Caenorhabditis elegans: one gene and its partners. The protein of the gene in region 1 interacts with the protein of each later gene in a pairwise test. Each region holds a gene or a part of one and is shown in the gene's direction. Other genes may lie near its edges. The genes, in order: add-1, R05G6.10 and selt-1.1.

Region 1 (13,212 bases):
ACGATTTCTAAGAAGTAATATACCCTCACACAATTTTAGCAATTTTGGCAGAATTTTCTTTTTTCCAGATATTTTACAACCAGGAGTTCCCAAATCTGCCAATGGATATATGGATATAAGGATATAAGAATTGTCGAAAATAAAACGTAAAACGTGTATTTTGCTGTCACCGTTTTTTTTTAGATTTTTGAAATACACTTCAAATCAAAAAAAAATTATTTTTTGACACTTTCAGAAGAATTGCAGACTTCGTCGATTGCCAAAAACTTCCGAAGGTTTCAATAATTCACAAGTTCCCAACAAAATTCAAAATCAGGTTACAAGGTGTTTTTTATGAGCAGAAGTGAAGCAAAAAGTGTCAAAATTTAGGGCATCTGTTTGGAAAATGTTTTTGTCGTTATTGAATAGAAACTCACAATATGAATCTGTAGTTTGCAATGAAACAATTGTGACGTGTTATAAAAAATCATATGAAAAGAGATTACGAAAATTGAGAAAAAAGGAAGTACAAAAAAACAAAAATGTTACTCAAAATATACTAAATCCGCATCCAGATTACATAGAAGTTCATTGATGTAAAAGTTTTACAACTCATTCACTCACTCAGAATCTACAGACTTCTGACATAAAATTAAAACAACAAAAAACGGCAAAGTGAACATTCTCCAGTTTCGAATATACGCCAAATAGCTAATTCATCAAATTTGGAGCGCACATTGGTAAGTGTTTGAAAAGATGCGGCATTTGCTCTGGGGGATTGCCGCGACTTCACGACACCGATTTGTCATCTGGAGTCAACTGGCATTATCTGCTGCTTTGGTGGTATACTTGTTGCTTTTACGAGCACGTCAATGTGTTACATGCTCATAAATTAGAGATTTTCTACAATCATTATTGCCAGCAACAAGTTCCGTTGTTCCAAAAAAATTGTGTTGTCTTAAGAGGAGGGGCCCTTCTTGTGTCTTCTCCGAGATTCGTGCCTCTTTTTGTCTTTTAGTTCTGCAGAGACTAACTGCGTACTTTAAAGCGACCAATTCCGTACTACTAGAAGATTGCTCTAATTCCATTAGGCTACATCTTTCAAACTGCCGCATCTGGGTCACCGTTACTTTTCCCCACTTTTCTCCCAATTTTTCCAACAAATCCGTTTTGAGCACTCAATCTCGAGTTTATCGTGTTTTGATGACTGTTAGACGCGTAAACGCGTAACACATTTCCAATGGGCATCAGCGTTTTTTTCTTCTTCTGAACAACTTGATAGATTGTTGCGTATTCTATCTTCACCCGTCAGCTGAAATGCCGTTTTTTTCGGAGTGCCTTTTTTCGGTAAGACCTTGTTGCTCCACATTTTTTTCACGCGTAAGGGACTTTTCTCGCTCGTTGTGCATGAATTTTTGTCTCGTTGCCCTCCCATCCTCTCCACTCTTCCCCCTGCTTTAAAGATTTGGCCCTTGTTCTTCAAAATTTTCTGCAAGCAAAAAAAGATAGAAGGAATATTTTTCTGGTCCCCTCCTCGCACCCCTCCATGCTTATTGGCTTTAGCCAACAGGATCATATTTCTAAACGCAATTATCTACTTTCAAAACGATCTCATGGCATCTAACTGAAAGTGTGGTTGTGGTGTTGCTTCTTTTATTTCTATCTATCTTATAGTTTTTGTTTCATTAGAAAAGTACACTAATCGTTACTTACTTCTGTTAAATAACTCAATAATTGGCGTCTTACCATTCCTTCGTTCAATTAGTACTGCATGCAAGCTTTAAATATATTTTTGTAAATTTGAATTTTTCTTTCTTTCATTTCTGCAAGAATTTCCAGCACTTTCAAATAAAGAAAATGTAAAGCAAAACAAAACACGAAAATTTCGAAAACTTTATCTCAACACAACAAAAGTGCATGCAGAAACTTCTAAATTTCGGAAACGTTCATTCTGAGAAACAATTTTTGAGAAAGTCTCAAAATAGGAAGAGTGACTAAATTGTATGGTCCGACATTTACCTGGTTCCCTAGACTAGTTTTGCAGGGTTAACACAGTGCGGCGCGGGGCCCGGTAGATGTCGGACCAGACATATCTTTCACACTTCCAGTTTTATGGTTTTCTATAGAAAAAAAAAGTCCCTCGGGTATGTCTTTAATTTTGGAGTTTATGCAAACATGAAATGCATATTTCTGTTTTATTTAGGAACATATAACATTTCAAACATCTCAAAAATAAAGTACCGTATATTCTCTATTAGTGCTGCAAGCAGCACTAATTTCCAGGCCCTTTTTGAGTGCAGCACTATTAGAGACTGCGGTACTAATTTTCGAACGACTTTTTTCAATTGGAGATCACTAGTTTTTAGTCACAAATGCTCATCTTTTAAGCAGAAATCCATTAAAATTGAGAAATTTTGTAACAAAAATGACCCAATAATTCAATTATGTTTGTAAATTAACTAGAAATCTTCAAAAATATACAAAAAAAACACTCCCCAAAATGTCAAAACTATTGAGTGACTCTTTCAGTAGAAAATGGGGTGCAGCACTAATAGAGACTGCAGTACTACTGGAGATGCAGCACTAATAGAGAATATACGGTAACAAGGTGTAATAATGTTTGCGGAAATGTAGTAATTCCAGAGTTCGCCTCAAAAGCACTTTTTCATTGAAACTTCGAAGCTATCATTCTCTGATCACAAAGATTTAAAAATATTTACAACCACAAACTGTAAGATTCTTTGTTGCCGGATCCATGTTTCGCCAATGTTATTGTTGGACGATCTAATTATTCAAACGCACTCTCTCCGACCGCCTTGGGTTCTTTAAACGAAATGCAAATTCGAGTGCGTGTAAGATAGACCATCGGGCGGCTGGTGCATGGTCTGACAAATGTTCTATTCCATGCCTCCCATTTCACACTTCAACTCATTATTTGTGTGTGTTGTCGGTCGCTACGAAATGCTCCAAATGGCACTATCTAGATGACAACTGATAGCACATCTTGTGTACTGCTCCTCTTTTTTGCAGAATAGTTTTGTTCCGAAAAAGTTTGCCTGTTCATATTCTTCCACTTCTCGCTTTCCAAACTCTCTTCTTCTCAATACGTTTTATTCTCTCTTTGCCTTACGGGCACATCAAATTTTTATGACAACTGTTTCGAGCAACGAGTATTGTACAGTAACGCAGCGAGTTTATCGATTCTTTTTCTCAGCGTTCTCTGACTTCCTATTTGATTATTTGGTTTTCCACGCAAAACTGAATTCAAAAATCATATCACTGTTGTTGAGCTTTTGTTTTGAATAGCAAACAGTTTAGCTTTCGAAATTCGGTGTTTTCAATGAACCGTAAGGCGTGTTTCGTCTTTTCTCCAAGCCAAAAGATACACAACAAATGAACACTGCCTTTTTGAGTCTCCAGAAACCGATAGACAACCTTGATTTGAATAAAGATTCTGTTTCGCTCAATTGACAGCAGCGATCTTTTTTCAATTCTTTCGTTTTTCTCACTTTCTATTTACTTCCCTAACTTTTCTCAATAAAAGTCTCCAAGAAGGGTAATTGATTCAAGGTGAGGAAAAAGGGCGAGAGATACATGTTTTGTTTTCCTGTTTTCTCCACTTGTTCTTTTTATCAGATCTATTTAATCAAAAAGGTTAAAACAAATAGTTTGTTTTACTATCGTCACCATAGGTGTGTGTGCGTGTGTGTTTGATATAAGATTTAATCGCAATTCGGCATGTTTCTTCTATTGTTGCCGCATTGGTTAAACACCAGTTTGGGGTTTTTTTGGAAGAGTATTTCAAGTTTCTGAAAGTTAAAGCATTTCAAATTTCAGACTAAGAATTTTACAGTAAGTGGTATTATAAATAATTGCATTGACCGCAAATTATTGAAAAAGCTTAGAATTTTTAAATAGAAATATTGTTTCAGCATTTCGTAGTAGTGCTGCAATATTATCTTATCGGAATAATTAATCTGAAAAGTTCAAACCGATTTTTAAATTTTGACAAATTTATTTTGAGTTATAAAACTCTGTTTGCGGAAAAATGGTTACTTTCCCAAAAAGTAATGAAATCTCACAAAACTAATTGGCCTAGCTCAATTCGAAAATTTCCACTTCCATTTTGCTTCACCGTTCTTTTTCATTTGAGCCACCCTACTTGTGCACCACTCGGACAAGTGCATTCTATTTATTCCATTTTCTTTTCATTGTGATTAACCATCCTGAATAAAATGTCTTGGGTTTTCTGCTCGGCGCCTCTTTCTATCTTTCTCCAAAATAGAGTACATGTAGACTTGAGTTTCTTTTCGGTCTTCCTTTTCTTCCCTCATTCCTTAAATTAGATTTGACATAAGAAGAACTTTATCGCAACAGGCGGATACCTTAAGGTTCTCATTCTTGTTTGCCGTTTATCGCTTCCATCGCAGACAAAAGTAGTGTGTTGGAGAATTTGACTGACGCAAAAACCACAAACATTTTAGGGTCAAATTCACATTTCCAATTAATATTTTTCAATATTACCGTTTGCCATGCTTCATAGGTAATTAGATGTATACACTTTCTCATGGCAAGTGTGCCACCCGTAGAGCAAATGTTATATAACGCAGGAGGTATGCAATAACCAAATTTTGTATACAAATCAGATGGCTCGCCATCGAATAGTCTCACGCTGAATGAACTATTTTTCGATCAATTCATGCTTTTTAGTACAGCTTTGTGTAAGCTGTGTGCTAGTAGAAATGTCAAATTATTTTCATGAAATTGTATACATCCGATTTAGCATATCTTAAAAAATCCTTATTTGTAAATACAGTTTCCGATAACTTGTGAACCCTTTTTTACTTAATTTGATATTTCAATCTTTAGTAAGTTCAACTGTTAACACCTTTATAACAGTTTTTCATCTTGAAAAAATGTCTAAAAATTTGACAAACAGAAATTTAACGTTAAAAGACCAATAATGAAACAGGAAAACAAGACAATATCAAAAGTAGGCCATCCATTTGCGCGGGAATTTAAACATAATTCAGAAAATCATCGCACATTTAGAATAATTTTATTATTTTTATTTTTAAATTCATATTTGTACACTACATCCCATTTTCATATTTGCAAAGTAATGTTTACTTTTCTAAACTTTGTGATTTTTTCTTGAATTTCAATATTTCAATCTCATTTTCAATTTTCTTAAACTTCAATAAAGTTTCAGATGATTGGAAGAAAAGAGAAGGAACGGGAACGTCCATACTATCGAGACCCAGATGACCCTGAATATATCAAAGATTTGCAAAGACCGGCAGTAATCAAAGTAAGTGCTGCTCCAAGTTTTTCCGTAAAAAAAACTAGAGCACATCAAGTTTTCCCTCCTCAGCTCTCTTTTTTCTCTTTTTCCAAGAACTTCAATTAATGAAACCTGCCATTATTAGCGCAGTGTCATTTTTTGAAAAGACTTGGGAAATTGAATGGAAAATGCAAGAGAAGAAGAGAAAGGAGTGCTCGCTCTTTAATCAGCTTAAAAGATGGATGAGAAATGCTCTATTTTAGGAGGATTTGTCAGAGATGGAGAGACGGAAAAGAGTGCAACAGATACTTGAATCAAAATCATTCTGCCACGAGCTAGAAGAAGTTATTCGTCAGGTTTGTAATTTGTCTTTTTTCTCGTTATTTTGTTTCAATAAATGTAATTTTGTACAAAACATTTTACATCTAGGAGTGTGATACAGCACGTACGGATCCGGATCACTTGCAAGTACTCCAGAAACTTTCGGACCTCACAGTTCCACAAGGAAACATGTCGTTTGGCAACCTTCACACATATGGTTTGTATTATATTTTGGAATAATGTATTCGAAAAACGGATAACTTGGTTTTTTTTCCTTATTTTGACAAAAGAAACTCGATTTATGCTTATTCACACGAGGAGTTACAACATGTTATAATGCAGAAAACTTTCCTATACGAATTTTAGCTATGCTGAAACCTTGTGACACAAAAGTAGATATACTTTTTTTGTTTTTCTAGTAAAGTATTATAATATCAAAAATCTAAGATTCCCATGCATAAACAAAATTGCAATATTTTTACAAACTTGAACTTCTGTAAGTTGACAATTTCCGATAAATCATGTAATCTATGTTTCAGGTGGAAACACCATTGCAATTGCTGATCTTCGTGGAAACGAGAAGTATTCAAAAGCGGAACGTATCCAGAGAAACAAATTGGCATGCTTGTTTCGACTAGCTGACCTGTTCCAGTGGTCACAAGGGATTCATAACGAAATCTCGGTAGGGTGCTTGAAGTATTGACTTTTTAAAATTACCACAAAAATTTAAAACTTGAACCTGTGGTTTAAAGTAAAATTTTGCAATCAACCAAATTTATTTTACAATATAGCAAATACAACGCGTGTAGAAATTGTATGAATTTCAACTTTATTAAAATACGAAACTTCTGAAACAGCTGCCAAAATGTAAGGATTAATCAGCTTTAAATTGGGATTTTTTTTGTTCAGTGTTGTGTTCCGGTTACACACCACTTTATTTTCCGACGTGAGTTAACTAGCAGGTCCATTAACGACGTGTTTAAAAAAATGTATTAAAATTATATTTCTATGAAACTTCTACAAAAGTAAAAACACCATATTTACCTTTCTAGAAGAATTTTAACAAAATTGATTTAGTATCGAACCAACGATGAGGATAACACTTTTCTGATGAATCCATTTGGTCTTCTCTACCATGAAATCACTGCTGCGACCATCGTGAAGATAGATGAAAATGGAAAAATTCTGGATTGCGGGACACTGAAAGCTGGAGTCAACCAGGTACCTTTAAAATCAAAAACGACTTATTTTTGCACTCATCAAGTTAAGCCTGCGTTTCTTCTTCATTCTGCAATTTACAAAGCTCACCCAATGGTCAGATGCATTCTTCATATGCACACGGCAATTGTGGCGGCTGTGGCTAGTATGAAATGTGGTTTATTGCCTCTATGTAAGGAAGCAATGGTGCTTGGGCCAGTTGGATATCACGATTATCAGGTTAGCAAAAATATTGAATTTGAAGAAAAACAATCACTTGTGTGGTTATTTTCATAATCTGAAAAATTTAAGTGTGAACGAGAGAAAATTGAAAATCTGAAGGTTAAAGAAACTAGAAGCAAAATCGGCAACCGTTTTTTAAAATTATTTTTTGATGATTTTTTTCCAGTCAAAGTTTTGGTACTTTGCCAAAATTTGAAAAAGTTTATCATGTAAATCGGTAGTTTTAGTACTTAAAGTAGATATAGAAAAGTTCATCGTCGACCTTCGAACGGTTTAAATTTTCATTAACCTTTCACATGACTTTAACTATAAAATCAAAAAAATTGTTGAATTTTCTTTTCAGGACATTGGTGATGATGATATTCAATTTGACGAAATTATTGCAAATCTTGGAGACAAAAACGTGCGTTAGCTTTACTTTGAACTGCTTTTCTATCCGCTTTTCTATGCTTCGTTTCAGGTCCTTTTCCTCCGCAATCAAGGATTCCTTGTTGTCGGTGACACTATCGAGCATGCCACTTTTCTAGCCAACAACACTGTGATAGCATGCGAAACTCAGGTTTTTGAAGTTTCTCATATTTAAAAATTACACGCTGCCCTGCCGCCAGTAGTTCAATTCTATCGCCAAATGCTTATTTTTTATGAAATGACGATGGGATTAAAACATTTAAGGTTCTGCTGATCAGAGGAGAAGGATGTTTTGTTGTTGGAAATTCCGTTGAAGAGACATCTATAATTATGCGCAACTTAGTCACTGCTTGTGACCATCAGGTTTAGAAAAGTTATAATAAATGAGAAATATTATTTCATATCAAATACAAAATACATAATCAAAGTTTCCAAAAACAAAATATTTTTGTAAGGTACGTGCCGCAAGGGCTGGACTTGACAACCTCATCATTCCGGAAGAGAAAGCAATACAAAGAGCGTTCAGAAATTCTCGAAATAGTAAGATTCTGCAATATATATTGAAATTTAAAATACATCTATAATGCTTTTGTAGCGAATTCCCTGAAACGAAATGGAACAGTTGATTGGAGAGTCGGAGAATTAGAATGGGAGTCTTGGATGAGAGTGTTGGATCATGCGGTGAGCAGAATTTTTTCGCCCTGCTCACAGTTGTTTCACTAAAAATTGCTACTAATTATAGAATTTTCAAACCGGGCACGTCTATCGTCAACCACAACTGCGGCCCAAATCTGCAATGTCTACGTCAATGGTGAACAACAATGATGTTGCTGTTCCGCCAACTACATCAGCTTATGGACAAATTGATGAAACAAACTTGGAAAGTGTATCTGCACATCGTCTGGCTTTACTGCGCAAGGAGCAGGAGCGGGTTCGTTGGATGAACAGTCCAAATGCATATCAGAAGGTTGAATTTTTGGAGTATGGAGCAGATAACCCAAAGAAGATAACTAAAGTAAGAACTGTTTTCAACTTTTGCAGTACGAAAATAAAATTTGTACATGAACTTCTGATGGTTTGTGTCATTATGTTTACACAGTTATTTTCATATAAATGTACAAAAAAATTTGAAGAAACATTAAATTAAAAACTATAAACAGAGATTTGAAAACCCAAATAGCTATGATATGGGTGGGCCCTACTAGTGAATTTTTGTTTTGGATAATTTCTATGTCACTAATTTTTGGATTGTTGTCATTATGCACATTATGAATACATGTTATGCTAACGCAATAAAAAAATGTATTTTTCAATATTGGAGTAGTGTCAGAAAATGTTCAAAATTGCTCCAATACCAACTATCGATTCAGGCTGTGCCTAATTGTGTTTTGAAAATTTTGATCCGCAATAAAAATATGTATTAAAGTTTTTTGAGAAGTCTCATTATAAAATTCGGTCGCATTTGGTTATTGAGTTCAAATTAAACATCTATGATAAATCATTGGAGAAAAAATTAATTTTAAAGTGTTTTAAATTTACACAAGTTCAAATCATTTCAGTGGGTTCATGACGTCAACGTTCCATCCGCGAGTGGAACCCCTGTCAAAATCAGCAGTGTTCATCAATTCAGTCCTGCGTCTTCAAATCCTAAAGAATTTAAAGAAAAACAAAAAGCTATCAAAGAAAACAACAGACTGGGAACTCTTTCTGCTGGACCACAAAGCCAGATTTTGGACAGTGTGACATATGAAGACATTGCACTATTGATTAAAGTGAAATATCCCGTCTTGAAAATTCATTTATTATTTTGTAATCTTTCAGCCTGATAATGACGGAACAGTCGGACAGAGCTCGACCGCTGACCGAGCAATACTTATCGGAACTGCCAGCAAGGGAATCATTGATAGGCAATTTCAGCATCATGCTCAGGTGTACCACCAAATCTATGCGCCGAATCCATTCTCTGTAGAAACTGATGCAGACATCAAGAAATATGTAGACATGGTGAAGGCCAAGAACTCGCAAAGCGCTCCTGTCTCAGCGAGAAGTGGTTACTCTCAATACGATGAGGTTGAAGCTGGTAAGGTAGCTGAAACAAAAAAACAGCAATTTTTAAAGTCGTTTTTGAAAACGAAAACTGAAATTCCTTTATTTAAAACGTAATAAAATAAAATAAACACTGCAAAAAATCCATGTTGTGTTGCGAGTTTTTAACTGAAAATCTGGGGTTCAAAACACTTGTGGGATGCCACTTGTTTTGAGTATGTTCTTTTTGGCTCCACTTACAAAATATATTTTTGAAAATATATTGCTGACAAAGGTCTAAAAATAGCTTCTCTAGTTGTAACCAGCCGATTTTCAAAAATTATTCCAGATACAGTTTCCTTAATGCAAGGAGTACGAGAACATAAACTTTCTCAAGCGGCTCTGAGCGCATCTGACGACGGCCTGAATGCCGGAATCTCCCCGAATAATGGTAATTTTTATGTGGTTGCTCCTTCACATTTTATCGATGCGCCTGTTTTCTATCGCTTTGTTTTCCAGTGTTTTAAATTATTTGAATGCCTATTTTCCATATTTCCAGTCCGAACTTCCGAAGAAAGCGTCAATACGTCGTACATGAGCCAGTCAGTTGTGTTCGATTGTAGGTTTATTTTCCTTATTCTTTCTGTGTAGCATGTGTGTGGTGGCTTCAAAGCTTTTTATAACTTTCACAGATTTTCTAACTCTTTGTGTACAGGCGATCACCCTTCTCCGATGTCAATTTCGACAGAGTACCCTGAAAAAGTTAAAATGACGCGATTTTCGTCGACTCAAGGAACAAGTGAAGGTATATTTGTAACTACGTGGTGTCTATTTGTGTTTTCACTTTTTTTTCGAGCGCATCAGCTAACTAATCAATAACTGAGTTGTAACATTTAGGCAATACAACGTCTCGATCGTGCACTACAGCGTCTGAAGAAGAAGTAAGAATTTTTGGAAGCAAATAGTTTTTCAAATGTTTCAAACTTAAAAAAGAATGAGGTTTCTTGCCATAAATAACAGAAAAACTATAAAGTAATATATTAAATTTTTAATAATGTTTTTTTTCAAATTAGAAGTTTTTTTTTGATATTTTAACAATTTCTGAAAAATTTTAAAAAAATTCAATGAAAAAATTAAACTTTTTACAGTTGTATTCTCTATATATAAACTGTTTTCTGTTATTTTGGGCAAAACCCCACTGACTCTACTCTACCTTCAAATAAGATTGAAATATTTGCTAACTTCTCTGCTTTTGGGACTAATCAAGCACTTATTTTACACCGTTTTTTATTTCAGAAGCCTACAAAAGATGAGAAAAAGAAGAAAAAGAAAGGATTTTTGTCATTTATGCGAAAAAAGGACAAATGAAAAATGAGAGTTTTGCTCTCACCTTGCTCTCACCAACACGTTCACATCACTTAACTCTAACACTTTTCGATAACTTTTTCTATGTTTTCTTTTCAATTTTCAGATCCGGATATACTACGCCCAATTTACCGTCAAGAAACATATGTCTAGTCTCTGGACTTTTCTTTCTTTCCCGTGAACTTTCAATTCCGGTTATGGATAATAGCAACACTCTGTGCTTTGTCTTTTGTTTTTCGAATATTTTTAAAATGTCATTTTGTACGCATATTTTTTTTATATTATGTATTTGCATTTCCATCAAGTTTTTTATACTTTCATCTATAAATAATTATATTATATTACAAAAAAAAGCCAGGACAGAGAAGAATTCGGCAAAGTGACTACGAAAATAGCTTTTCTCAACGAATTTAGCAGATTAAAAAAGTTATCCAGTTTATTTTTGGTTGTTGCTATAAAACTCAAAGTGCTCGTTTTCCAGACACTTTCCTTGGAATATATGATAGTTTTTACACACGTTAGATTATCGATTTCCACACCAACTCTAGTTTCAGCAAATTTCTTCGGGTAATCAAATTAACTTTCCTGTAAAAGTCTGAAAATTCGATAAATTATGCTACAAAACAGGCTTTTAAATATTTTTAATGAATGAATTTAGCCGGAAAAATGTTACAGCTAGATCATTTTGTGCAGGAAAAAAAATAAGTTCAGTCTTCTTCTATTTTTTTCTTTGCACAATTGAAAAACATTATTTTGATCATTGTATGACTTTTTACAGTTATGTTTGGAACATTGTGATTATTTACTGTCATTTAGGGTAAAAACCGCCTAGACATATTCTGTAGAATTGCAGAAAAAAATGCACAGCGCTCTTGGCCACTATTTGGCACAACGAATCTTACACATTTTGATTTTTAAATTGTTTGTTCTTGTAGAAATAACAAGTTTTAGTTTCAAAGTTTGATTTTTTGAATTAATGAAAATACTAATTTACGGATAATTTTATGGTAACAAACATGACACTGCACCATGCTGATAACAATATTTGCCTTCATAACCCTTCCGACAAACTAACGTCTGCCCATTGAGTGTCGCCTCATTCGACGGCAAATTGCCATTAATACATTCTCTGTTGTGTTGTTTAGACTATCCATCTGCGTCTCTTCCATCGCAGCGTTGTCTCGCAAGTGGTCGTGGCCGCGGCCGAAGATACGACTCGAAGATAAAAGAGTTGGACACTCTTTGTGTTTCAAACCTTATATTCTAATGTGTTTCTTTTAGTTTTATTCACTAAACTTCAATTTTTTGCTAGCCAGAATTTCCTTTTCAGTTGTGTGACAATGACTGATCCTGACATTGGATTTGATGACATTTTTAAAGAAATATGTCCAAATGAGTGAGTTATTTCATGGTTTGAAGTAGAAAATGAGTTATTTTACCTGTTTAGAAACGTTTATTTTGTTTCAGATTCAACGAATTCGGATTGAAACGTGAGATGCGTTTTATCAGTGAACGTATCATTGTTGAATATGACCCAACGGACCATTTGTCGGTGAGTTAACGAAAAATAATGACATGGAAGAAAATCAATACCTAATCTTTTTGTAGGTTCGCGAAATCATGCATCCGATGGACGCGTTTCGTAGCAGTGAACCATATTTTAAACATAAACTGACTGACAAATCGAAACAGGAATTTGTGACTGCAATCGACTTTCACGAACATATCACTTATTTTCCATATTCCAAAAATACCGGTGACATTTGCCTTGCCCGGTATATTAGTAATTTTAACGATATCAACTTGTGAGTCCGGAATCGAACGTTTGTCAACTTATCATCAATTTTACAGCACCAAAATCAGTGGTCAAAACCTTTGCTCATTGCCTGGTGAAACCATCTACGGGTTACGTGTTGGACGACTCGACAAAGGAATGCTTGCTGTAAATCATAGAACAGATTCTTCTGTGTAAGTTGCATTCAAATATGTGCGATTCGAGCAAGGGTAGAATTGAAAAAAAATCAGCTATTAGTCGAAAAGAAACGGCATAAGTTATGTCTTCCCTAAGGCTTTCATATAGGCGCCAAGACGCCTGCCTGCCTGTTTTTAAAGCAACGTTTGCCGACATCGCGCCTACCCGAGCCTGATGCTAATACACACGAACTTTTTTCAAAACTTTCTTAATGTGATTTTCATCAACATTTATTAAAATTATTCAATCAAAAACTTGAGCATAGACACCAAAGTGCAGGAAAAAGGCGGCAGGTAGGCATTAGGGTGCCTGCCTATCATGAAAGCACCCTATTTTCGATTTACAGCTATTCATATTCCAAAAATCGTGATAAAAGGACGTCAGTGGCATTTTTTATAATTATTATATAAAAACATTT
Region 2 (10,345 bases), on another chromosome or scaffold:
GTCATCGTATCTCGTCGCTTTCGCCGTTGGTGAGCTGGAATATATCAGTGCACAAACGAAAAGCGGAGTTGAGATGCGTGTGTATACTGTACCTGGAAAGAAAGAACAAGGTCAATACAGTTTGGATCTTTCTGTGAAGTGAGTTATCTTAAAGAATAATTTTAGCTGAATTTTCAGTAATAATTCAAATGAAGTTTCAATTTCTAATTTTCAGGTGCATTGACTGGTACAATGAGTGGTTCGACATCAAATACCCTCTTCCAAAATGTGACCTGATTGCTATTCCGGACTTCTCAATGGGTGCGATGGAGAACTGGGGACTTGTCACGTATCGTGAAATCGCTCTTCTTGTTGATCCAGGAGTCACGTCCACCAGACAAAAGTCTAGAGTTGCTTTAGTCGTTGCTCACGAGTTGGCTCATTTATGGTTCGGAAATCTTGTGACTATGGTAGGGAATTTTCAACTAATAAACATATATATTCATTCTTTTCAGAAATGGTGGACTGATCTTTGGCTTAAAGAAGGATTTGCATCATTCATGGAATACATGTTCGTTGGCGCTAACTGTCCAGAGTTCAAGATCTGGCTTCATTTCCTGAATGATGAACTCGCGTCTGGAATGGGACTTGATGCACTTCGAAACTCTCATCCAATCGAAGTTGAAATTGATAATCCGAATGAGCTTGATGAGATTTACGATTCGATCACTTACGCCAAATCCAATTCAGTCAACCGCATGCTCTGCTATTATCTATCGGAGCCAGTTTTTCAAAAAGGACTTCGCCTCTATTTGAAGAGATTCCAATATTCGAATGCAGTTACTCAAGATTTGTGGACCGCACTGAGCGAGGCTTCAGGACAAAACGTGAATGAATTGATGTCCGGTTGGACCCAACAAATGGGATTCCCTGTGCTGAAGGTCTCCCAGAGACAAGATGGTAACAATCGCATTTTGACCGTGGAGCAACGTCGATTCATTTCCGATGGAGGTGAAGACCCGAAAAATAGCCAGTGGCAAGTGCCAATTACAGTTGCTGTCGGAAGTTCTCCAAGTGATGTGAAAGCCAGATTTTTGCTAAAGGAGAAGCAGCAAGAATTCACGATTGAAGGTGTCGCTCCAGGAGAATGGGTGAAGCTCAACTCTGGAACAACTGGATTCTACCGAGTCGAATATTCGGATGAAATGCTAACTGCAATGCTGCCCGATATCGCTTCTCGCCGAATGCCAGTACTCGATCGATTCGGATTGATTAATGATCTCTCTGCTCTTCTCAATACCGGACGTGTTTCCATCGCACAGTTTGTTCAAGTCGCAGCTTCTTCCGCAAAAGAAGATGAATATGTTGTCTGGGGAGCTATCGATGAAGGAATGAGCAAGCTCTTGGCTTGTGCTCGTGAAATGTCCGAAGACACTTTGAAGAGGTTTGATATTAGCGATTCAAAATTAATTGACAGTATATTATTTCAGTGCTAAACAACTCGTCGTTAAGATGTTCGAGCAGACTGGGGCAGAGCTCGGATTCGCAGAACAAGCTGGAGAAGACTCGCAGAAAATGATGTTGAGATCGCTTGTTCAAGCACGACTCGCCCGTGCAGGTCATCAACCAACAATTGACAAGTTCACTCAGATGTTCAATGATTTCCTGGAGAAAGGAACGCCAATTCATCCAGACATTCGGCTAGCCACTTTCGGTGTTGTTGCTCGGTATGGAGGAAAGGAAGGATTCGATAAGCTAATGAATCTCCGTGAAACTACCACATTCCAAGAGATCGAAAGACAAACCATGGTAGCAATGTCTCAAACTCCGGAGGAGTCACTTCTTGCCCAACTTTTCGAATATGGATTTGAGAAGAACAAGGTCCGTCCACAAGATCAGCTGTATCTCTTCCTCGGAACTGGAGCGACTCATATGGGACAGCAATACGCGTGGAAATATTTCTGCGAGCACATTAAAGAGTTCCTCGACAAATACGGAGGTGCCAACTCGAGTCTCTTCCAGCGATGCCTCAAGTTTGCTGGAGAAAGTTTTGGAAACGAAAAACGAGCTGTCGAGTTTCAAGATTTCTTCTGCAATTGCAATGTTCTCAGCGATACGGATCGCCAGACTTTGGCCAGACCCATCGGACAGGTATTTATTTTTTCAAGTTTAATTGTTCAAAAAGCATAAATTTCAGACCGTCGAAGCTATCCGTTTGAACGCTCGCCTGCTCGAATCCAACCGCCAAATCATTGAAAATCTTCTTAAACAGAGCAACGTTTAATTTATTAGACCTCAATCTTTCTATTCATATTCCACTGGTTTTATCAGATTTCAGACCCGTTTTTATTTATTTTTCCCCCCTCTCGTCAATTTTGCTTATGGCACAATACTATGTATTGTTTTATTTTTCAAATGAAATAAACTGCTGCTGATGCGTAAAGGAGAGAAGTGTGTAGTTTTAGAATGAGAAGAGCACTTGGTTAAATTGAAGTGCTGAATTTTTCAATAGCTGGCACCATCCGATGTGGCCACGAAAGAATTATGCATTTGGAAGAAGGTTCCATCAGTTAGAGTTGACGATTGTGAAGGTCATCAGTACAATTTACTACCTCTTTTCTTTGGAAACTATTTTTTTTTCTTAAATTGGAAAAAAGTGGGTCGCAAATATAATCGAGACTATTTTTTAAAACTCGAATAACAAGTCTCCCAAGAGAAACGAAACATTTTAGAAATCTCATGAGCTCGTAATTCGAGTTGTGTGTTGTCATTTTTGGGTGGTGAAAGCAGAGGATGACACCCTTTCACTGGCCTTACTGAGATTGGCTCGATGAGCATTTCCTGTCGCATTTCTAAAGTCTCGTGGGAGAACTGACGACGAAAAAAGAGAGAAGACCACCAGTTGCCGAATATAGCTGCACTTTTATATACTTTTTTGATACATTAGATGTTTTTGTAGATCATACGAATTTACTTTAATAATCAAACAACTTTTTGGATAATACAGAATGTATAAACTTTTGGGAACTTTTGTGTACAAGTGCCGGGAAAATTCGAAAAATCAACTCACATCCCAGCTTTCAAAATTAAAGTTTTCAAAATATAAGACCAATGGGGATTTTATTTCAAAAAGAACCACAATTGACTACATTTCCAACTTTCTGTCGTACATTAACCTCTTTATTTTTTCGTCTACTTTCAGACTCATATTGTCAATTTTCTGACACACACTGTTAAAGTTTCTATTGAACATTGAATTCTTTCCAATTTTAGACGCAAACTGTGAATTCGCTAACAAGTATTGTCAACATTCTGCCGCACATCGAATTTTTCTTCAACTCCTGTCGCACACTAATTAAATATTAGAATGAAATCATACGAATTCAGAAATTATTGAAGGTTCATCATTCTCAAAACACCAATGATACATGATGACAAACAACTCAAAGGGGTTTCGTACTAAAATGGAAAGATAGGGAGAAAAAGAAGCATACATATTTCCACCAAGAAATCACCAACACCCTTGTTTGTTGCCAAAATAGTTTTTGAAATAAGAAGAATAATTTGACCACCATGTTCCCCACTTTCCCATTGTTCCAAACTCTTTAAATTGAATTCGTTCGGAGTCTCATTTGAAATACGATTAGTGTACGGGATCCCCCCATCTTATCCGTCTGTCCCTTTTTCGAACTTGCTCTTCTTCTTCTTTTTTTTCTCTTTAGCTCTTTCCCTTCTATTCTTCTACTAATTGCTCCCTTTTCTGGTCATTTTGAATCTTCCGTTGTCGCCTATTTTCTGCATTGTCATTCATGTTATTTCCGGTCTATTTCGTCCTCAATTCCTCCCCCCCCAATTTTTCATCTTTTACAGATTTTTCCGCTGAATCATATGAAGTCTTCTGTCACTCAGTTTTGGCATCAGGTCAGTTATTTAATGGAGCTTTTCTACTACTCAGATCCATAATTGTGCAGTACATTAAAATTTTTTTAAAGCCAAAAAACTTCGTCTCGACAAAACTAAAAATTTTCTATGAAAGCTATCAACATGGAGTGTGCGCCTATAAAAATTGAAGTACAGTACAGTAGTTGGTTTTTTTTAATTTAAAACTTTTCGTTCGTGTTGAGATCAAATACCGTTTCCTGGCGAGATTAACTAAATGCTGATCAAATCACAAATTATTTATTTAAGAATGAAGATTTGGTGACATACAATTAAAAATGAAGAATCCCCGAAATTTTTACAAAATAATGAGAAAATGATTGCGTTTTGTTGAAATTATGATTGGAGAATATTTGAATATTTGCGCTGATTGAAATTGTTGAAGAATTTTTTGAGAAAGGCACTTTGATCTTAGATACTTTTGGGTAAATCAGAGACTATATGGATAAAAAAAGAAAGCTCCCGAGAATATATGATGACTTTCAGTTGATAAAATATACATACAAAAATCTTCTTGGCACAACTGCTTCATAAAAAGGAAAAAACGAATGATATTTGAGAAATTAACCGTGATAGGAAGGGATTTAATTATTGATTTCGTTGGCGGAATTCTTTGACAATGTGGAATAATTGAGGAAAAGCCACTCTAACCATTTGTCCAATTCCAAATACGAGAGAGATTAGACGAAGTTCGTTTTCACAGTTCGGATCCCATTGAATCTGCAATTTTTCAGAATTAATCATAAAACCATTCTGTTTTTCCTTTTTGAAGACCCTAACAGCGTTTTGTAAAACTTGAAAATTTTCTAAAATAACCAAAATCTCAAAATCAAATTAAAAGTTTGTAGAGAAGCTGGTGTGGTTTTTATATGGAAATTGCTTTGAAATACCTATTCGAAAATATTTCAAATTTTGAAGTATGTAACTGAATAGTAAATTGGTAGGATCAAAATTGGTTTCGTGTCACACTATAATGTAAAAGTTTTTGTTCTAGAGATGCAACTATATTCAAGTTAAAAAACCTACATGGTATGATCCAAAAATCTAAAAATAATTACACTCTCTTCAAATATTTGTTGCAAATATGATTAAAACAGTTAAGTGCTAAAAATGCTTTAAAAAATTCTGAATCAGCAGTAAGTAAAAGTTTAATTTAATTATTAATTTTGTAAACGGTATAATTTAATTTACTGTTTCAAGAAACATACCTTAATCTCATTCTCTGACCAAAATGAACGATTCGGTCGAACATTTGCCATAATCTTGTCTTGTGTCAGCACTGACCACGTTTCTTTGCTAAATGCACAACCACAGTTTAAAAATAAACTGCTCAATCCAGATGTCTGTGTCATAACTCGAGCCCTAAAGTTGGTAAAATTTATGAGAATAGTCATTATTAGAATCTCACCCTTTCAATTCATCAGTGTTTGTTTGAATGAGAATGGTTCCACCGAGTTCACGAAGTTCATAGACTGTCATTCCAGAAACCGGATGCTTGATTTTAAGCATGCTACTTGTGTCTTCAGTGTCGATTAACGTAATTTCACAGATTTTTTTACTGCCTTCTTGAAGAATTATCTCATCTGGATAGACACTTGCTGGAAAATTGAATTTTTTAAAATAGTTTTTATGATTATCTTCTAACCTTGCATGATTCTGTAACCTTCTTTGTTGATAATATCCAATTCGACAGGATCAAACTGTGCAGAGTTTCGAAGCACATAGTGTTCAATTGCTCCTTGTAGCTGAAAAAATTGGAATTTACTGAAGTCTTTAAAACATTTAATCTAAGGGATTTGGTTCTAATTTCCGTTGAAACTTTTCTTTTTTCTTCATCTAATTCTCTGTCATTATTCTCCATCCAGTCCCGTCCTCTTGCTTGTTCTAATATCTGGTTTTTTGCAGAACACAAAACAGAACAAATTAATTCTTTTCATTTTCTTCCAGTTTTCTATTTCATTCAACAAACCTGTGCCACATCATTCATTTTCACTCGAACTTCATCTAATTTCTGTAGAATGTGAACTGCTTCAATTTTGGTGAGTGTCGGTGCGATGGCTGTTGAGAAGCGTCTGCAACACTTTTTCCATTATTTTTGGGTGGAAAAATTGAGGAATCAGTTTTTGCAATGAAATTGGAAAAGGAGCACTTGAACAAAGAATAACGCTTTTTTTGCGCTTCTCATTTCCCCTTTCGTGCATTTTTTTGGCGGAGCCTTTCTTGGAATGAAAAATCTTTATTTCCTTTTTCGAAGATATGTAGGCAGTTTTCATTATCTAGATTTTATTTCATTTATGTATTTAAAATTGCCAAAAGTTAAAATTCTGAAGGATTTTAACTGGTTGACTTTGAATATTTTCTTGTTTTTTTTCTGTTTTATCAAAATTCGTGTTTGTTCTAAAACTTAAAGTATAGCTTCTGATAGTGAGAAAATCTTTTCAACGAATTTTGGTTTTTTCAGCATGTTTTTTCAGCACTTTTAACATTATCATTATGGTGCATTCGCGATAATATATACGTAAAATGGGTGAAACAGAGTATATTTATAAATTAAACACGATGAAATCAGATAAAAAACGCAAAACAAGTTTAGGCAATTTGCCAGGTATTTGGATAATTTAGACTTTTTGAGAAACCATAAAAATTGTCAAAGGTCTACAATCAGCACTTTGAAATGATTAACATGGCTATTTTAAAAATTTATTTATATCTAGTAGCTTTACATACCTTGCTTGTCTCGATATTTGTGCAGTAACTGAAGAAGTTCTCCGTCCAGTATTGGTCATTCCGTCCGGAGCGTTGTTCGACTTTTCAGCCGCTTTCTGATTCTTCTCCTTCTGCTTCTTCGACTCCCTTTTTGCTCTTTTTGCCTCTTTTTCAGCAGTGGTACTTGCTGTCAGATGCTTCTGTAACGAAAAATTTCTGAATAAGGACGTAAATGTATTTGATAAGTTATTTAAATTTATTCAAAGACACTGCTTTTCTCATTCATTCACATTTATGAATATCTCGATTTATGAGAACGAAGAGGCGGATGAAGGAAGTTTTTTTAATGAGAAGAGGGAGGTAAATTGAGTGTTGATACTTTTTTTAATTTAATGATAGACTAAAAAGTTGAATTAGTAATTCATTAATTTTAGGAGTAAAGATCAAATTGTCCTCTAGTGAGTGTTTGTTAGTAGCCTGATTTTATAAATATTAAGATTTGTTGTTTTCTTAAAATATAGTTCATTTGAATTTTCAGAAAATTGATTCTAAGAAGTGTGCCAGTGTCCAAAACGTTTAGGAGTACTATCATTTTTGAAATATATATATCAAAGAAAAATATAATCATTATCGTAGAATATCACTAAAAATTTATAACAAATTTCCGATAAGACTCGGAAAATTGCAAGAAGTTTACTTTCCAAATTAGTTTTTTGTGGCGTCCATAATCATTTAAGGAACAATATCATAATTGTTTAATTTTCAAAAAATAAATCAAGTAGTATATTTGAAGAAGAACATTGGTTCGAGAATGAAATCTGTTTCTTTCCGCAAAAAAGTGTGCATCAAATCGAGAAAGGAGTTATGTAAATTTGGCTAAATATCAACTGTGTATTAAACTACATACTTATAAATCCTAAGTCACGTAGAGAAATTAGGAAAATCGGTGATTTTTTCAATGTGTTCCACAAACTAGTTTTGTGAAAAGTAGTTGATTATCTAAAATCAAAAAGTGATCATTTAGAATTATAAGTAATCGAATAATTATTTCAAAGTGCCAAAGCTCTAGACGTCATAATGAAATTGTTTCTTTTTTGTAATGTTTTGTTGCAAAACATGCGAATAAAATATGACAAAAAAAGGCGAGAATCAAACGGACATTTTTCATTTTTCAAATTAAATTTGTATGCTTCTGTGTGAGTGTGTATTTTGTTGAATTGAGAGTTGTCAAATGGTGTAATGATGGGTGGAGAATTGGATCCAGAAAAGAGAGAGAAGTGCTCATTTCGATCGGAAGCTTTTCAAAAGTTCTTTTCTGGGTCACAGAACTTTGCCTTCTTAGCGTGATGATTCTCCTTCATGCCCTCACTAAATCCGGCTCGAATGGATTGAGTGGAAAAAGGAGAGGATGAGGAAGAAGTTGCGTGTGATCTCGTGTATGCTACTCCAATTGAAAATTTAAGTGAATGGTGATATTGGTAAAGAAGAAGGAGAAAAATGACGAACTTTCGTCTTTTTTTTTCTGAAATCCTCTTAAAAATCTTGTTCTCCAAAAATGGAAACTGAGCGAGATTAAGATGAAGGAAAAAAAGGATGTTTACGTTTACGAGGGTGGAATGAGAAGCAATTGGGATGGTCTCTGATTGATGAAGCAATAAGAAATAAGACAAACAAATATATTACTGTTTCCTTGATTTTTAATATAAAATAGCGAACCTTTCTTCTTTGATGTGAATTTTCAATTTGTTCACCTAACCTCAAAATTGTTGAACAATGTGACGGGATTAGATCTAATCGGAGCATAGTGACGTTGGATAGAATGCGAATAAATAGAAGATGCCAGAGAATTTCGAAATTTTGAAAATCAGCAGAATGAGGTAGAGCACGAAGATCGGATGGGATGAAATTTCAACTACTTCGACGAATATTTGATTATTTCAAAACGGAAAGTAGTTTTTTATGCAAAAAGGAGATAGTTTCTGCTGTGGAATAGTCCAAGCTTTAATACGGAATTCTACTAAACTTTAACTAATTTGAGCTGATACTAAATACTAGACTTATAAGGGTTATGACATGGCAATATGTTTCTTCAAAAACGTATACTCTAATATTTTTAACTTTAAAGTACACTTGATTTTCTCTTTTTTGCTGCACTTTCTTAATTTCAATTAAATAATTAGTTAAATCACCAAAAATGAGGACGAGGCGACTTAATGACATTAAAGGACAGTGGAGATTTAGCAATAATAATTATTATATTCCAATTTCCCAAGTTTTCCAAAAATATAATTTTGAGCACTGTTGTGGGTTCGTAGACCTATAAAGTTTGAATACGCACTATATAACTCGTGGACAACATTTTCGGTCGATTTCCAAAATTATGGTAGGTGGAAAATGACATTTCTCACCTTTTTGCGCTGTGACTGTAAAAAAACAATTAAAAAATTAAAACATATATTTGGACATTTTAGTACTATTAAAAATTCCGAACTACTTTGAAAGTTATAGAAAATGAATCGGCTCGAAGAGTTTTGCAGAAAACCGCTAGGAATTTCGTTGGTATTTTTTCGATACAACTGAAAGGTGCTCCCAAATTTTTTAAAAGGAATGTCACCTCAAATTACTTTTTCTCACCTTCTGAATTCTTTTATAAGCATCTACATCCTCTCTAAATATCTACGTAATGTTTTCAAAACTATCGTTTTGTTTTGTTTGTTTTCTAGTCTAGCCTACTATATTTCACTTTGAAATTGAAAAAAAATGGGGATGAGCAAAACTATCAAGGGTAATGAAAAGAGTAATAAAAGCATGTTGATAATGATGAAGCTTATTATTTATGACTGGACTCGAAAGCGAGTAATGTTGCGTTAATGAGGCGGAGTCGCGAACGACGAGCGAGAAATATAGAGTCAAAAAATTTTTGAAAATCTAAATGATTTGTTTTTCATAGTAAAGATTGAGAATTTTTAAAGAAAAAAACAAATTTAGAAAATTTTCTCTGAATTAGTGTAATAAACATTTCAAAAAACCAATAAAAATCCCAACATTTTGAATCTACCAGGAACGAAATCAAGGATACTCTCACCGTGTTTCTTTTATTGAGAAAAAGTGTCTTGTTTTAACACTTTTGAAATTTTGTGAAAAGTGTGTGCTATGACAACTAACTGATAGTACTTTTCAAATTCCATACTTGGAATCTGACGTAACTCGAATTAAATGAAAAAGCATGAAGTAATATTCAATAATGAAATCTTCCCAAATTTATTATTTAATTCTTTTGGGACTTTTTTGTCACTAGAGACTGTCTAGACAACATCTAACTCTCTGTTTCATCAGATTTTCGATCAAAAAGTGCATTTAAAGTATTTTTAGAATGAATACAAGTTACTTGACTCAGCAATTGAAAAGAATAGATTTGTGATTTTTTAAATTCTGTCGAAAATATCTGTGCTCTTGGGTAAATGACCGAGTCTTGCTTTTTCCTCTTTCGAACGCAATGTTTCGTGTCACTTGTTTCCTATGATTTACGATGTTATAGGCGATAAAATGAGTTGTTTTTTCTACTTTTGGAGTACATTCAACAAACTAATAAAATTAGTACATGACCCTACTCTGGCCCCGTTTTGGTTCTCATTTTTAATTCAAATGTGATTTGCTTTAATTTGTAGTTATTATTAAATAATTTCCAGTATCATCTTTTCGTTTATTAATTTAGAAGTTA
Region 3 (9,243 bases), 6.7 Mb from region 1:
CAAAGTTTGAAGAAAAAGGTTTTTACAAATATAAGATTAGCAAAAAAAAATCTAACTAAATTGAAACAAAATTTAAATCGAAAATTTAGGAAATAACACTAATGGTGAACGTATTTCTGAAGACAAGTTAAAAAAAGCAAAACGAAATACTCAAGAAGAGGGCGTTTTCATACCCATGACTCATGGGGGCATCGGTTGAAATAATGAGTGTTTCGATAACAGGTGTTGCTGGCACCCGAATACTGTCATGCCAAGCAGGCCCTTTCCAGGGTCATTGCAAAATACGATGTTGTTGCGTGACGTGGCATGAAGCCATTAGAACAATACAAACGCAGAATAGAAAATAATGGGGAAAGAATCCTAAAATGGGTAGCGAACAAAGTGATGAAAGAGAAACATGACAAAGCGTGGAACAAAAACCGAAAATTTGGAGAATTGAAAGAAAAATGTGAAGAACGAATCGTTTTGAATGCAAATGAGCATTTGAAAAACGAAAACCTCGGAGAAAGGGAGACCTCACACATCTGCGGATGAGTCATTGTGGAGCCAGAGGAAACGCGTCGTGGGCACTGACCCCAGAAATTGCAAAGTGTACGGACGGTTAATTTAGAACATCTGAGGATGTTAGTGTCTAAAGGCCATCCACACACATACACATACACACGTAGTGACTCCCCCTCCTTCTTCAAGTCATTGATATCTGTCGTAAAAGCCCATAAAACTAATGCATTTGAGGTGAGATGGGTTAGGTTGGGGGAAAAGATGGATGAGAAGGGCAAGTTCCTTTTTTTTTTGTTTTCCTTCAGGAGTGAGAAGTGGAAGAATCCGGATGCGATTCAATTAGTTTGTCACCACTCCACCTCGGCAAATGTGAGATGCGTATTGTTGGTGGTGTAACTTTTTGAGATTGAGATGCTAGCACGAAAAGAAGATAGATGCTTTTCAAAAATAATGAGAATCCACGATGAATTGCAAAAGCAAGATGTTTGTCATTAGATTTGAGAAATGGTCAATTACATTTTTCTAAGACACTGGGGGTGAAAAACATTTATTAAGATATACATATTTTTTTTTGAAAGGAAGTTTAAACTTGCAAACACTGCTTGTGTATTACATGCACTCATTTTTAAAGTAATTTTTAAGTTGTAAAAATAAAAAAGTGTGGAAATTTTTTTATATTTTAAAGCTTACAATTAGAAAATAAGCATTTCTGAGCCAAACGAGGAAAATTCCACATCACGTTCAATTTAAACGGAGAAATCAATGAGCATTTTCATTAATTTTAAAATGAAAGTATGTAATACACAAGTACCAAAATAAGAAATTAACTCATTGTAAAAAAGTCTCAATAAGATATTGCAATTGCACGACAACAAAGTTCACTTTCTCGGAAACCGATTTCTTGTGTTTGACTGTTTGACCTTCACGGAAACCAAGAATCCATTAAGAATCTCAAAAAGAAACTAATTCTATAACGTAGCGTATTGATCACATCAAAACAACTCCTCCCATATCATATCCAATGAACAATAAAAAACGAGTTAAAATGAGAAACAAGGAAAGAGAAGACTGTGCACATAAAATTAAAGGTTATGCGAGTGTGCGAATATGAGGTGACTCAACGTCCTCCAAACACACACGCATACACACACCGAGAACCGTTCAAAGAGAACGAGAGAGTGTGTGAGGCGCGGAGGCATCAGACACTGGCGAGTGATGGGGCGCGTTTGCTACGGGCGAGTCAAGTATTGATCGCTGAGACTCCGCAGTGGTCTTGGTGCTGCGCGCTCGTTTGGAATACCCTGTGTTGTCCGCTTGTGTGTCGAGAGGGTGTTTCTGTCATATCATACTCTCCTGCGCGTCCGCTTTCTTTGCTTTTTCTAGTGTAAAACACTTCATCAAATGTGTTCTTCTCTGACATTTTTATCTAATTTTTTTTGTTGCAAAAAAGATGATGAAAAATTTCATTTCCTTCTCTATAGTGTTTTGATGTTTTTTTTGCCATTATTGATTTTTCAGATGTCACGGTTTGGGGTATTTATCATAGGAGTTCTCTTCTTTATGTCAGTTTGTGATGTGCTGAGAAGTAAGTTGTGACACATCATAAATGAAATAAACAACCCAAGTAGCTGTTTCAGCGGAAGAGCATTCACACGATGAGAACCACGTACATGAAAAGGACGATTTTGAAGCAGAATTTGGAGACGAAACAGATTCACAAAGCTTCAGGTATTATTTTTTTAAAGGTCGAATTGTGAAATTAAAATCAATTTTATTTTCAAAAAAGTGAAAATCTAACGCATGACCGTTTTCAATTTTTCAAGCTTTCTAAGGTGCTCAATAAAATTTCTAAGTTCATGATAATTAGTTTCCAACAGGTTAACTGAAATTTTTCAAACAAGTGCTACAAAACTTAATTTTTTCAGTCAAGGAACCGAAGAAGATCATATTGAAGTCCGGGAGCAATCCTCATTTGTTAAGCCTACAGCCGTCCACCACGCCAAGGATCTTCCAACATTGAGAATTTTCTACTGGTAATATTTATACATATATAGGTTCTACTAGAAATTATGCATAATTTTTCAGTGTTTCATGTGGTTATAAGCAAGCTTTCGACCAGTTCACCACTTTTGCCAAAGAAAAGTATCCAAATATGCCAATTGAAGGAGCCAACTTTGCACCGGTTCTTTGGAAAGCTTATGTTGCTCAGGTACTGTTCAATTTGAAGTGACTTGGATTATTTATAAAATGTATTTTTAGGCTCTCAGTTTCGTCAAAATGGCAGTTCTCGTGCTGGTGCTAGGTGGAATAAATCCATTTGAGAGATTTGGTCTTGGATACCCACAGATTCTGCAGCACGCACACGGAAACAAGATGTCGTCCTGTATGCTGGTGTTCATGCTCGGCAACCTTGTTGAACAAAGTCTCATTTCTACTGGAGCATTCGAAGTTTACCTTGGCAATGAACAAATCTGGAGTAAAATCGAGTCAGGTCGTGTACCATCCCCTCAGGAATTCATGCAACTTATCGATGCTCAACTTGCGGTGCTCGGAAAAGCTCCTGTCAACACAGAATCATTTGGAGAGTTCCAACAGACTGTCTAAAACGCTATGTTTTCAATTTGACACCGTGTTACCATAATTATTTACAATGTATTCTTGCTGCTCAAACTGATTCATTCCCTCACTCGTCATCCGACGCCTTATTTTATTAAGTTAAATTAACTTTTTATTTGTTTCTCAACGTGTGTAAATTATTTGCAGTCATAAAAATTCTCGCCACTTTTATTTCACCTCTAATGATTTTCTATTCAAATAATGTTACGTTTTGTTTTTTTTTAAATAATTATTTACCATTAAGGAATCAAATTTTTGAAACCAGTTTTTTCATTTGAAATTTTTCAGAAATAATATTTTTTACTAGAGTATTAGTTTTGTTTATTTAAAAACAAATCACAAAGTAAAAAATTCGTTTAAGGAATGTTTCGCGCAAATGAATGCAACATTTACAAAAGCAATCTCCTTGGATAATTGCTTAGAATATTTTAAGAGTTCTTCGTCGTCTACTGAAGTTTCCATTTTTGATATCAAGCTGTGTACTTGAGAGATTGCGTTTCCACGATACCAGTTGTCCGCACTCGGGCGGAAGAGCACATGACGACTCTGCGGATCTCCAAGGATACCATGCGGGTTTATGAAACATTTTTCAAATCTGAAAAATCTAATATGTGAAAATTGAAGTTTTCATAAGCATGCATACCTTTGCTGTCTTTTCTAACAGTTCAAACTGTTTCTGGGGCTCAGTCAAGTACTCAGAAATGTTTTCAAAAGTCTGAGCCTTATTAATGTGTTGTTGTATTCTCGGGAAATACTCATCAAGAACTCTGTCCATTAACTCTTTTAAGCTGAAATTATTTCTACTTGGTAGAAAACGCAAATTGCAGTGCTTACTCATAAGGAAGAATTCTGCTTTCCGAAAAGTTTAAAATGCACTCAATTAACATCTCGCCCATAGCTTTATGCATCTGAAAAATGATAATTGTCGAGGTTTACTCTGGGATTTTATTGCCTTGTACTCTGGATCAAGAATATTGTCTATCAAATAGGGTGTTTCGTAAATTGTATGATATGAGGGGATAAACAGGCGGGCTGTCCAATGATGATGTGACAAAGAAAACCATCGGAATACCTGCATGAACTAGTTTTTCTGTAAATTTCGGTTTTTTGAAAATCTAACCCAAATAATTAAAGAAAGACAAATGATCACTGCCACCTGCTGGAAGCTGGTAAAATGGATGTGAGGAATTATTGTTTTGTGAGGGAGAAATGTTTTCCTGAATTCAATTATAATTGTTTGTTCTTCATACTTTTTACTACCAAGAATCATATAGTGTCTCTCTTCCGTTTTCTATTTCTAACGGATTTGGATGTGAAATTTTTGCTGCAGCTGCACGAAGAACATTAACAACTGTAGGATTAGCCATAGCAAGTCTGATAAAGCAAAGTTTCAGATTATACTTTTTTAACTTCACTACTTACAATGACTGGTTTCCTCCAATCATATCCGTATTTATATATGCAACAGCTCTTCTCATTAACTGAGTACGATGCTCCTCTGCAAACTCTGTGGACCCAATCAGACCATATTCCTCAGCATCCCAATGAGCGAACAGAATTGATCTCGTTAAAAAACCCATTTTCAGGACAAGAGTGAAAGTAACTGTTATAATATTAAACACGTGGGTGTACATATTGAAATGTTTTCTAATAACGGAAGTGATTCGAAATCCTATTATACATAACTTGTTTAGTGTTTGAAAATACCTGGTCTCCATCCTGTAAGATTTTGATATGCTTTTAATGCTCTGGTTACTTCCAAGAGGGTCGATGTGACACTGTTTGGATCTACTGCTCCGTACGTCCAAGCATCATAATGATTTCCCACTAGCACAAACTTATCCGGCTCTTGGCTTCCCTTTATATATCCAAGAACGTTTTGAATTTTTCTAAGGATTAAAATAAAATCCGAAAACTGCCCAGTTAATAAAAAACAAACCGTTCCTCATTTTTAGCGTGCACAGTTACTCTAAGTTTCTGATTATTTATCAGTCCCGGACCATATCGGTATGTGACGTCAAGTTTTCCTAAAAAAGTAACTTGTAATTTCGGTGGAAATGTAGATTTCAAACAACCTTGAAAATCTGCAATGACGGCGTCTCCTTTCATTTTTTCGAATAAAATTTGCGCTGCGCTATATGGAATTGGAAGTAGTGAATAGTTGGGATCTTTTTTCCATCCAACAACTGGAAAAATACTACGTTTTTATAATTTAAATATCTGTAAAACCTCTTGCTCTGATTTTTCTTTGAAGAGATTTTTTATAGAAGGGAATGCCGGCAATCTGGGGTCTCCTGATTGAACATAGCATGTGCCTCTTTGAACGGCATGTGATGGCATCTTATCTGTTCTTCCATATGTACTATCTATTACAAAAAACGGATTGAAGTTTGCTTGTATTATTTTGAAAAACTCACTTGGTCCGGTTCCAAGACTTGCTACTTGCATAGGGTCTGAGTAGAGAAGACATGCTTTTGCTCCTTTTTTGACGGCCATTTGAGCTATGTTACCACGGAAGTTAGAACTGTATCTAGCGAGAACAATTTTGTCCTAAAAAGTTTTCTGCTGTATTAATACTTTTTATACTAGGAATAAACCTTCAGATCTATCCCCAACGATTCTATATGCTCGATATCCTTTGGAGTACCTTTGTTGACATAAACAATATCTCCTTCAACTGTTCCATCAGCCGAATATGCAAGCCATTGTATTTCAGAAACCAAATCATTCTGTTCTTCTTCAATAATAGATATGCTCCGTCCCGTAGTTTTATAAAATACATCTCCATTTTCTTCGAGTATTTCAACAATGTTGGGAGTCGTCCAATCAGGGTATGATAGCAACACATTATACTCGTTAAAATGAACATTTTCGAGACCTTGAGAGATCATTTGATCTCGAATAATTTCAGCCACTCGCAAGTTGTTTTCTGTTCCGGCCACATGAGCTTTTTTAGTGAGCGAATGAAGATTGGAGCGAATTTTGTCAGTGTTAATAAGCTGTCTGATATTATTTGCGATTGAAACTGAAATACTATACAATTAACTCTTCAAAAACTTTTCAAAGTGGTCTCATAAATCATTTGCAGTCAGATAGAACCATAGGAAACTTTTTTCTCTCTTCAATTTACCTGTATTTTGTATTGTAGGTGTCCCACTCGACATTGAAAGCTGATGTACATAATTTGAAATGAGTACAGTTACAACAACTGTCGCTGCTAGAAGTAATACAACGCCGAATATTTGTAATCCTTTTTTCATGTTCGATTTTTGAAAAACGTTATATCATAGAAAAGTGATTCGTTTACCAGGTTATATTTATATGCTTTGATAAAATGCAAATATTACTGGCAAAGTCGACGAGTTTAAAAAATAGTTTCATTATTTATTCGTAAGAATACATTATTTTAGGGATTTAATTCAGAAGTTCCTGATAAAAACTAGTTTTCGGCGTTAGATGTGTTCGACATGCTCTCGTTCCTGATTAAAAAAATAATCTGTCCATGATTTTTGAACAGGCATCAAACTTCCGTTGGAATGTGTTGGTTGAAATTTGAACGAATGTACATTCGAACGGGTCAAATGAAAAACTAATTCGAAATTTTCTGTGAGTTTTTTTAATGTCAAGTTTTCTCAACGTTACTGTATTCAAAATACATTTATTGGTTAAATAGTAAACATCGCCAGTGGGGATTTTGTCTGAATATCGCAATAAAACACTCCAAAATTCAAGAGTTTTTAAAAAATTTCTGTAACTGTAAGCTTTCAAGCAAATCCAGACTTATGTCGCACTGGCAAAAACTGAGTAGGTATCATTTTTTTGCAGTAAATAAAAACATTCCAAAATTTTGTTGTAATGTTTTGCAATTATTTTTGGTCATTTTCACCATTTAAACACTTTCCCCACTTGCACTACTCCACCTTACACTTTAAAAAGTTGACATTTAAATAATTATTACTCTGAGAGTCTATCAAACGTGATCACATTGTGAAAAATTCGCCGAGGGAATGTTTGGCACATATGTAAGCAACATTAACTAGAGCAATTTCTTTTGCTAGTTGTCTCGACAATTTTCCCAACTCCTTGCTGTCTGTCGAATTGCTAATTTTTGATATCAAATCGTGAACTTGTGAAATTGCATCTCCATCATACCAATTATCAGGGCTTGGATGAAACAATACATGTCGAGCTTGAGGATTTCCAATTGCCCCATGTGGGTTTATAAAACATTTTTCAAATCTGAAAGTTTTGAAAATCGAAAATTATTTTCCAATTTGCATTACTCGATAAGCCGATTATTTATGTCCACTCTACTGCCGAATGGTAGCTCTTCAAGTTTCGAGACATTTCTTCTTTGTACGATCTCAGAAAGTTCCTGAAATAATATTTGTTTGGTTTGGGAAGCATTTCAAACAAACCAAAACTGTTTTTTGTAACAGTTTGAACTGTTTCTGTGCATCCAGCAAATAATCAGTCTTAGTTCCAATCATTAACGTTTTATTTAGACGATCTTCTAGTTTTGGCAAATATTCAAAGATCGAGTCATCCATAAGTTCATTCAGACTGAAATTTTCAACATGTTCAGTGCTGCAAAACACATTTTTCTTACTCATAAGGAAGGATTTTACTCTCGGTAAACTTCAAAATGCATTCTATAAACATCCCGGCAATGGCTTTATGAACCTGTAATTTTTTGTTTAAAATCAAAAATTTGTTTATCAACAACGGCAATGATATATTTAGCCTACAATGAATGTCTCAAACTGCATTGTACCTTGTAGCCAGGATCCATAATATTTTCAATCAGATATGGTGTTTCATAAATTGTATGATACAGTGGATAAGTTGGAGGTGCATCTAGGGATGAAGTGATGAAAAAGACAATTGGGATTCCTGTAAGTTAAACAATAGTAAATGATTTCGATGTGTCGTTTTATGAACTAACGTACCAAGATAATCAAAAAATGGAAGATGATCACTTCCACCAGCGGGGATTCTTTGATAAGGATGGGTTGATCGATTGTTCTTTGATGGCGCATAGTATTTCCTTAAAACTATTAGTTATGCAATTCAAAATTTTTTATTACCAGGAATCGTATAGTGTTTTTCTCCCTTGTTCCATTTCTGTCGGATTTGGCTGCTCAACATTTGCCGCTGCAGACCGGAGAACATTGGCGACGGTAGGATTCGATAACCCAAGTCTGCAAAATCTTAATTTCCACTCAGTCAATACTCGGAGCTAACAAAGTCTGGTTGCCACCAATAAGATCCATATTAATAACTGCAACTGCTCTTCTCATTAATTGAAGACGGTATTCTTCCGCAAACTCAGTGGATCCTATCAGACCATATTCCTCGGCATCCCAATGAGCGAACAGAATTGATCGCGCTAAAAATTTATTATATATTGTTTCTACTTCTCTGAATAAAAAGAAAAAGTAAGCTATTTCAATGTCTCAACAAGTTTTTATACATCATTCATATTTTATCCTCACCCTGTTTCATGTACATTATATCTCTTAAAAAACCATGTCTGTTCACATCGCCTGAGTTTCTAGTTCATATTTTTTCTCAAATAAAGCAAGTGAAATGATGCGATGAAACATTTTTAAAATACCTGGTATCCAGCCGGTTTGATTTTGATATTGTTTCAACGCTCTGGAAACTTCTAAAAGCGTAGATGTTCCACTGTTTGGATCAACAGCCCCATAAGTCCAAGCATCATAATGATTGCTCACTAGAACAAACTTGTCCGGTTCCTGACTTCCTTTGATATATCCCATTATATTTTGAATTTTTCTAAAATTCAAACGCAATCTACTTATCAATTCTACAACTATAACTGACCGTTCTTCGTTTTCAGCATGAACGGTAACACGAAGTTTCTGATTGTTTATCAAGCCAGGTCCATAACGATATGTAACATTTAACTTTCCTAAATGTAAACGCTGGTATTGTACAAATATACAGTTTCACTTTGAAACCTTGAAAATCTGCATTCACTGCATCGCCTTTCATATTCTCAAATAATATTTGTGCTGTGGCATATGTAATTGGGAGCATGGGAATGGTAGGTATTTTCTTTTCATCTAACAACTGTAATTTTTATTTCAGTTTTTCCCAAGT

What was found.
Region 2: the proteins of add-1 (region 1) and R05G6.10 interact in a two-hybrid assay, tested with the Caenorhabditis elegans proteins (one large-scale study listed by BioGRID).
Region 3: the proteins of add-1 (region 1) and selt-1.1 interact in a two-hybrid assay, tested with the Caenorhabditis elegans proteins (one large-scale study listed by BioGRID).

The regions. Positions count from the first base shown.
Region 1 is NC_003284.9:4,852,016-4,865,227, reverse strand, and holds add-1 (Adducin-related protein 1), read left to right. Parts: upstream 1-5,184; 5' UTR 5,185-5,191; coding exon 5,192-5,290; intron 5,291-5,526; coding exon 5,527-5,619; intron 5,620-5,692; coding exon 5,693-5,801; intron 5,802-6,123; coding exon 6,124-6,266; intron 6,267-6,385; exon of another isoform or gene 6,386-6,535; intron 6,536-6,661; coding exon 6,662-6,805; intron 6,806-6,853; coding exon 6,854-7,021; intron 7,022-7,367; coding exon 7,368-7,427; intron 7,428-7,484; coding exon 7,485-7,583; intron 7,584-7,887; coding exon 7,888-7,972; intron 7,973-8,027; coding exon 8,028-8,113; intron 8,114-8,174; coding exon 8,175-8,447; intron 8,448-8,991; coding exon 8,992-9,204; intron 9,205-9,253; coding exon 9,254-9,512; intron 9,513-9,806; coding exon 9,807-9,908; intron 9,909-10,016; coding exon 10,017-10,076; intron 10,077-10,172; coding exon 10,173-10,262; coding exon of another isoform or gene 10,263-10,336; intron 10,337-10,354; coding exon 10,355-10,398; intron 10,399-10,753; coding exon 10,754-10,825; and 4 more. Other genes in the region: F39C12.1 (GATOR2 complex protein MIO zinc-ribbon like domain-containing protein), read left to right, coding at 12,163-12,218, 12,290-12,374, 12,431-12,627, 12,674-12,790. UniProt on the Caenorhabditis elegans protein: Membrane-cytoskeleton-associated protein that promotes the assembly of the spectrin-actin network. Plays a role in time-dependent memmory loss and the retention of conditioned behavior over time.
Region 2 is NC_003282.8:7,536,058-7,546,402, reverse strand, and holds the start of R05G6.10 (Ras-GEF domain-containing family member 1B), read left to right. Parts: upstream 1-3,867; coding exon 3,868-3,900; intron 3,901-4,142; exon of another isoform or gene 4,143-4,506; coding exon of another isoform or gene 4,507-4,638; intron 4,639-5,126; coding exon of another isoform or gene 5,127-5,280; intron 5,281-5,326; coding exon of another isoform or gene 5,327-5,516; intron 5,517-5,563; coding exon of another isoform or gene 5,564-5,663; intron 5,664-5,887; coding exon of another isoform or gene 5,888-5,990; intron 5,991-6,388; exon of another isoform or gene 6,389-6,409; intron 6,410-6,645; coding exon of another isoform or gene 6,646-6,704; exon of another isoform or gene 6,705-6,824; intron 6,825-7,478; exon of another isoform or gene 7,479-7,628; intron 7,629-7,915; exon of another isoform or gene 7,916-8,059; intron 8,060-10,345. Other genes in the region: pam-1 (Puromycin-sensitive aminopeptidase), read left to right, coding at 1-138, 215-449, 495-1,423, 1,470-2,130, 2,177-2,263; R05G6.1 (Phospholipid scramblase), read right to left, coding at 4,507-4,638, 5,127-5,280, 5,327-5,516, 5,564-5,663, 5,888-5,990, 6,646-6,704.
Region 3 is NC_003284.9:11,539,272-11,548,514, reverse strand, and holds selt-1.1 (Thioredoxin reductase-like selenoprotein T homolog selt-1.1), read left to right. Parts: upstream 1-2,019; coding exon 2,020-2,086; intron 2,087-2,129; coding exon 2,130-2,229; intron 2,230-2,426; coding exon 2,427-2,534; intron 2,535-2,586; coding exon 2,587-2,710; intron 2,711-2,760; coding exon 2,761-3,105; 3' UTR 3,106-3,424; downstream 3,425-9,243. Other genes in the region: gcp-2.2 (N-acetylated-alpha-linked acidic dipeptidase 2), read right to left, coding at 7,098-7,356, 7,401-7,492, 7,536-7,680, 7,727-7,800, 7,892-8,010, 8,067-8,164, 8,205-8,318, 8,362-8,506 and 3 more.